Nothobranchius furzeri: one gene and its partner. The protein of the gene in region 2 purifies or fractionates together with the protein of the main gene of each other region. This does not show direct contact. Links are inferred from orthologs where the notes say so. Each region holds a gene or a part of one and is shown on either strand. Other genes may lie near its edges.

Region 1 (3,333 bases), on a different chromosome or scaffold from region 2:
GAGGTCTGAATGCTTTCCGTACCCCCGTTCTAGAGACCACAGCAGATTTATTAAAATAATGTTTGTATGCCCTCTTTTACCATATTTTTTTATGTTTACAGTAGCTGTTGTCTTTCCCATTTTTTCTTCTCTGCCTATTTAAAAAAGGGATGATGGAACATGGATTTAACTTTGTTTTAGTCCAAATGTGTTTGGATTTTCTTTTTATGCACTTTTTAAATAATAATGTTCTATTTCAGGCAATGAGAGCACTCCTCAAGTCAGGAGACACAGAGAAAATCATTTTCTTTGCCAACGTTTGTCGTCAGAAGGAGCTGTTCATCATGGCTGCCAACTACCTCCAGTCTCTGGACTGGCGTGAAAGCCCAGAGATCTTAAAGACCATCATTGGTTTCTACACCAGAGGCAAAGCACCGGAGCTGCTCGCTGGCTTCTACGAAGCCTGTGCTCAGGTTGAGCAACACTGTTTGTTTTTGAAAAGACTTTTCACACCATTGTTTGTCTTATTCCATCCCAACAGTTAATATCTGAATATTCAATAAGGCCAAGATTCTGTTTTTAATGTCTTAATATAAGATTAATGTTCTTTTCATGTCTTAAAAGAAGAAGCAAACATTTTTGTCGCTGTGGTGCAGGTGGAGATTGACGATTACCAAAACTATGAAAAGGCTCTGAATGCTTTAACGGAGGCCTTCAAGTGTTTGTCCAAAGCTAAAGACTCTTCAGGAGGACAACAAGAAGTAAGACTAGCGGACCTTCATAACAAGATCAGCCTCATCAAGAAGTTTGTCCACATCCGCAGGTGTGTGAAAAATAAAAATGTCAACTCTGATGTATTTAGACAAGAAAGCGCTGGCCACAGGGAAAAGAGATCACGTTTTGCACGACTGAAGGAAAAGCTGTTGAATAGAAGCGTAGAATTAAAACTAACAGAATGTTTACTCTTCAAGGCTGATGTTATTTTCTCGTTTAAAAGACCATCTTCAGACTGGCTTCCTGATTATTTGATTGTTTTTGTTTTTCATAAATGACTAAATCAGCTGAGAACATTCCTCCCCTTTGCTGCTGACAGTCCAGTTAACATTGAATTCTGGGTTTATCTATTTTATACAGGATTCTCGTCGTGTTAAAAATGTTTTATCTGGTTTATTTTTATGTGTTAGTCGTTGATTCATAAAGCTAATGCTCCTAAATCCTTTCAGTTTGTCAAAACACAAGAGTTCACTTCTCTTTTTGTTGCTGCTTTGTTTTTTGTTGTTTTTTAATAATAAACGTCAGAAAATCCAAATAGTTTATATTCACATTCTTACATGAAGTTATATTTATTCTGGTTTTTTTTCCCCCACTGAGAAATCTTTTTTTCTCCTGAAAAAACGGGTTTTTGTGGTGGTATGTCAGTCTGGGCTTCTCGGTTTATTCATTTATTTACTGTATTTATTTGTTTTGTTTAGTTTGTACTCCAAGGATGCCGACGAGGCGGTTCTGTTATGTGAAGCTCTGCTGGAGGAACCAGAACTGGACCCTGCTGTCAGGATCGGAGATGCTTTTGGTTTCCTTATAGAGCACCACTGTCAGCAGAGGAATTTCCAAACGGTGACTCTTTTCTATCCATTTACTCAGCTGATTTTGTAGAAAAAGCTTTTTGCATGAGTTTATTTAACTCAGAATTAACATATTCAGCAATTTAAAAAATAAGATAGCATCAGAAACATAAAACTACAATAATTTAGGGCCCTTATTTCACTAAGATAAATTATTTCGAGTATCTTCACCATCTAACCTTTGCAAATTGCCCCTGATGGGTGATTTGAATAGATTAAATAAAAATCTCAGATTACTAATTCCAGCAAAGATTTTTGGATTAATTTCTTTTCTGTTTCCTTATGAAAATCTGGTAAACTTTAACAAATTAAAAACATGTTTCTTTTGTTTGAAACAATTCTAAAAATATATAAAATATAAGTTTGTTTTGTTTTTGTGTTTTTCTCTGCAGGCCTACCGGAAGTTGGAGGAGCTGCAGAAACTTCTTCCCTCACAAAATGTCAGATATTACATCAGCCAGTCAAGCTTCAATGCCCTGCAAAAAGAGATGGGAATACCTGCGAAAGTCGACCTCGGGAAAAATCAGAACGAGGACGACGAGGTAGAGGAGGAGCTGCATGAGTCTTAGCGTCATTCTTTACCATTTTCATATAAAAAGGCATTTTCACACTGAATGAAACTGCAGTTTTATTTAAATTTAATCTGATTTACTTGCTGAGCAGAAAAAAACTCATGCTCATTTGCAAACCAGTTTTGAATAGAAAGATGATTTTGAAATACATTTTCAAAATAATAATAATTAAGAAAGCGGCTTATGTACAGGATGGATGAAAGTTGCATTAATATGAGTTTATTTGTAGTTTTTGAGCAGCTTTTGCACCAAAAGGTTCAACTTGATAAACAGATTTTGCCTTCAAGTTAAATCAGTCTTTTTGTGGTTTTCATGCATTTTATACTAAATGTTTCTAACTGAATTGATTTAAAAAGATTCTGTGTCAAAATGTCCAAATCTGTCCTACATTTTGCAGCTATTTTTGATAATCATCTCTATTTGTAACTGGCACTATTTATCTGATACATGGTGAAGTTCATATAATAAAAGAGACTTTTAAACATGAGTTGTGTTGTTTTGGGGGAATAACAGCACAGCCTATAATATCTTTCAATAAGCCAGGCCATTTAAATAGTTAAAAGGGATCTAAGCATAAGTTAAAATTTATTTTTGTGTAAATGTCTCACGTCAACGCTTCAGAAAGACAGGCGTGTCGTCTGATTAGAAGGGTTGAAGAAAAATCGCAGCACAAGTTCACTGAATTAGCTAAAGCAGTAGAAAGCTAGCCTGGCAAGCCAGACTAAATAAATGTATTATTTAGTCTGGCCACGCTCCATTGACGGCTCTCGGTTGTGGGGCGGGTTCTACCGTTGTCTTTCAAATGATCTCCACATTCCACTGGACAAAGAATGTGACATCCTCTTGTTTCACTCTGTTGCATCATCCCACCCACCAGGCATATAGAGTGCCCTGATTGGCCCACAAAGAAGATAAAGCTCTGTGATTTGTTCACTAAGCAGATAGAGCACCATGATTGGCCCACCATTATGGACCAATCACAGCTCTTTATGTGTTTGAAACCCCTCTAGATAGCTGTGATTGGCCAGCCAGAGTCCTGGTAGGAGCTGCAGAGGTTCCAATGGAGCGTGCCTAGACCAAAATTTGCAAAGCAAGAATTTGGTCTAGTTCACTAGGCTAGTAGAAAGCCAAACTGTAGTGACCATTTCCCGTGACACCAT
Region 2 (3,928 bases):
AGCGGAATTTCTGCCCTGCAGGACTTAAATAACAGAAACATTATTTAGACATGATCTAGGATTAAATATCAGGGTGGAGAAAAAATAAGATACCTTGTTATGTAAACATCCAATTTTCCTGCTGTCTTGCCTGTTCTTCTCTGCCTCACTTCTCTAATCCACCCATGGGGCATTGGGTCACACGGTTCCTCCTTGGGGCTTTTAACATCCATTCTGCCGCTGAGCTCCTTTTCACAGTATGATGCACTTAATATATAGTTGAGTCAATGATGAAATTTGGGTTGTAGAAGAGCCGCGTTTCTTGTCATCTTTGCCTTTAATTTGCAGCAGTAACACATACAGCAGATAAAAAAAAAACTCACCGTGTTATTTAGAAAGTATCACCAGCCACCATTGATATTAGTTTATTTAGCCAAATAGGAGTCTGTAGTGTGCATACTGCTTGTTTCCCGATGTAAACATTTGAGCGGAACTAGTTTTGCAGGCATGCAGGAAGTGGATCCGCTCCTTTTCTAGCGGGTTAGCGGGTTGGAAGTCCTGACGGGCGAAGATGATATACGTGCATTAGAAATATATATATAACAGGAATAAATACGCTTTCTGTTCATTGTGGGGGATGCGAGGAGATGAAGCTACTTCTGTCTTGTACTTCTGGGTTCTGCGTGGGGTGGGTTTTACAAACTCCGCCTACGCGGAGCAACTCTACGGTAGCCGGCAATTTAATGGTGCTGACCTACAAATCACCAGACATGCTGCATTTGTGTCCCAACGAAAATCGGACCTAGCGGCAAAACCTTTGCTACTCTTTAATCGGGCCAACACTACGAGCGAAGAACAACACATTTTTCTGCATTGGATGTCTTCTAACACTGTATGAATATGTTCACCAACAGGGCTTGTATGTTACTGCGTGCGACTAATTATTAATACGATGGAAGCCGATAAAATATCAAATAAGTTTATTTATTTAACATTTAATGTTATATTTAGCCTGGATTATTGAGTATTGAGGTCGTTACTTTTCAGAAGTCCCACATTTTGAACTGTATTTCTAAATTTCAATGTTTTTTTATATTTTGTTTGGTTGGTATTTGGTTATTTTTTCTACATGAATCCAAGAAATCCCGACCTCTGAGAAGATCTGGAACAAACCACGAGTTTGCGCAGTGTGACCAAATCCTTCCATTGAAGAAAAAAAAAGACGAGCTGTAATAGCTACTTGTTGATTCAAAAATATTTTGAACGATGTGCAATTATAGGTGAAGATGAGGGCGAATCACTCATGGACAGCTTCAGTTCGTGAACGGTAAGTGGTGGCAAGAGTATTATTATGTTATCCTTCAGATAAAGCTAGCTCATTAGCTGGGTAGCAACCTAGCAACGGTGGTTGCTATGTAAACTAGAGGAAGCCTGCTAACACTTAGCCCTCCAGCCATTCTTTTTTTTTATTTAAAAAAATATGTATTTTATCTCGCTGTATATTAGTTATAAAACATATTTTTTCTAATAATGTAACGCGACCTCTCGGGTCGGGTGAAACGTTACTGTTAAGTAAGCTAGCTTATGATGTTTCGACTCACTTGACCGCAGTTCTTCGATGCTACAACTAGTATATGAAACATTTTTACCGGATTATGCTGCCAGTGTTTATTTACAGAAAGCTTTGTGTTTGTGGAATATTAAAAAATCGTAAGATTATTGTTTTAATTGTTTTTGTTGTGTGGTCCTCCTAGCCACCAGCTTCGACTCTAACAGCGTCTAACTTGTTCTTTTATTATTTTTGATCAGTCTGATTCTGCTTGTGAATCTGCAAAAACTTTTTTGACCAAGGGGATTCAGTTCTATTGTTAAAAGACATGCAATCAATTTCAGCTGCTTTTCACTTTTCCGGGACACAATAATCCAAAAGCTGCATGCCTTTGCATCTGCCAACACCTTTTGTGCCTTTCTCAAATATAAGAAGTTATTTTGATTAATCAACAATGCTTTTACTCCACAGCCACGTTCTCAATTATAGCTACTTATGATCAAGCTGCTCTTTCTGACTGTTGTGATCTGTGTCATTTTTGTACACGTAAGCTTTATTTTGGACATGCACAGAGAAATATCGCTCTAAAGGACTTTAGAGGTCTGGACTAAAAAGTAACCTTTATCACAAAACTTTTGGGATTGATTTAGCCTCCATGCTATTGCTGATGGACTTATCAATGCATTTAAAAATGTTTTAACACAAATTTCTTTTCACAGTGTTTATGACCTTGCCTTCAAGCCAGATGGCAGTCAGATTATAATAGCTACAGGGCATCGTGTGCTGGTGAGGATGCTCTTTTATCTTTGCAGCAAAGGAGAGAATGGATCATTATTGTGAATGATCTTTTCTCTTTGCAGGTCTGTGATGCAGCAGATGGAGCCATTATCCAACCTTTAAAAGGACACAAAGACACAGTGTACTGTGTGGCTTATGCCAAGGATGGTACTTGAGTGTTTTTTGGCTTATTTGATCAAGTTTCTAGTATCACTTGTATTTTTTCCCTGTCACTAACGATAGTATTCTTCCCCAGGTAAAAGGTTTGCCTCGGGATCAGCTGACAAAAGCATCATCATCTGGACATCTAAACTTGAGGGTATTTTAAAATATACGTAAGTGTCATTCCTGTAATACAAAATAATCCCCATGATTTTTTTTAAATAATAGTGTGTTGGTATTATTTACTTTTCTAAGATCTCTATACCCACAAAATAAATGGTTTGAATACAGTAATATATTGAGAAGTTTTCTGAAAATAATTAAAAAATCTGTGATTTATGTATTAAATTGTGCTGTAACAGAAACAGTTTTCAGTGTCATCACTGACTAAACCCATGACTGATTTGAGAAAATACAAACAAATCGCAAATTCCACGCCAGCAACACACCTCAAACTACAGGTTGAAGGGAGACGAAGAGAGTGTTTTACAGAAGTTTTCTGGAAGAAGCTAGCATCCCATCTAACAACCAATTTATCATTACCAACAACCATCACTCAATGCTTTAGGTCAAACTCTATCAGAGGGTCATTGAGTTTTTTAGAAATAGCTCTCAATATGATTTTTCAAGAGCTGAGGGGTTTTTCTTTTAGCAATAACAGTGAATAATCTGGTGGAGAAATCTGAATGTAGAGGCCAAGGTTGGAAACTGCTGTCAGATGGACCAGTGAGCCCTAGGGAGTAAAACCGTTATCAGTATTTCCTCTGGAGGGTCACTTGGAAAAAGCATTGTTACTCAGATCATGATGCCCTTTACAGCCAGAAACACAATTAGTTATTTTATTCAGCAAGAAGAAGAAATATAATCATTCTGTTCAAAATCAGCACCCAATCCTCTGACGGCGTTCACATGTTCGACATCTGCTGATGAGGTTATTTTTCGGCTTGCTTGTTATAAGAAAAGGGACTGGGTTCTATGTGCCGAACAAGTAAAATAACCATTTAGTCTGTCATCAGGAAAAGGTGCAAAGCCCAAAGACTGTGATCATATGAGTGTGCTGTGTATTTCTGTAAAGGTGATACTGATGCAAAAGTAGAATTTCGTGCAGAAGACGTGCACCAGCAGCATCAGGGCAAAGTCTTACTGGGACTTCTGGTGTTATTTCACACCAACTCTCATTCTGCATGACTTACACCAGTGTGGCTTCTGAGGGGCGTGTGCCGGACTGTTCCGTTCTCTGCCTCCTATTAAAAATGTATGGCACATCCCGGAGAGGTGAATCAGATGTGATGACCACGGACTGTTGAGCAGCTGAGATCTTCTACTCTGCTAGACACGACACACATTTATCCTGCAAAACTGCAACAGTTGCAATGATCAACTATACCCAGCATTCACGTAATTAAAAGTAGAAGATTTTTTTAAATCAGTGTCCTGCCAGCAAATTAAAGTCTACATTAG

What was found.
Region 1: the proteins of ift122 (region 2) and ift140 purify together in Homo sapiens (affinity purification with mass spectrometry; 4 studies listed by BioGRID and IntAct, counting the BioPlex papers as one, with this or other methods). This does not show direct contact. The link is inferred for Nothobranchius furzeri from reciprocal best matches to the Homo sapiens genes IFT122 and IFT140.

The regions. Positions count from the first base shown.
Region 1 is NC_091756.1:32,324,709-32,328,041, reverse strand, and holds the end of ift140 (intraflagellar transport protein 140 homolog), read left to right. Parts: intron 1-239; coding exon 240-452; intron 453-635; coding exon 636-802; intron 803-1,451; coding exon 1,452-1,593; intron 1,594-1,993; coding exon 1,994-2,170; 3' UTR 2,171-2,660; downstream 2,661-3,333. UniProt on the Homo sapiens protein: Component of the IFT complex A (IFT-A), a complex required for retrograde ciliary transport and entry into cilia of G protein-coupled receptors (GPCRs).
Region 2 is NC_091755.1:54,390,852-54,394,779, forward strand, and holds the start of ift122 (intraflagellar transport protein 122 homolog), read left to right. Parts: upstream 1-1,161; 5' UTR 1,162-1,265; coding exon 1,266-1,306; intron 1,307-2,247; coding exon 2,248-2,314; intron 2,315-2,388; coding exon 2,389-2,473; intron 2,474-2,561; coding exon 2,562-2,640; intron 2,641-3,928. Other genes in the region: mbd4 (methyl-CpG-binding domain protein 4), read right to left, coding at 1-23, 94-212. UniProt on the Homo sapiens protein: As a component of the IFT complex A (IFT-A), a complex required for retrograde ciliary transport and entry into cilia of G protein-coupled receptors (GPCRs), it is required in ciliogenesis and ciliary protein trafficking.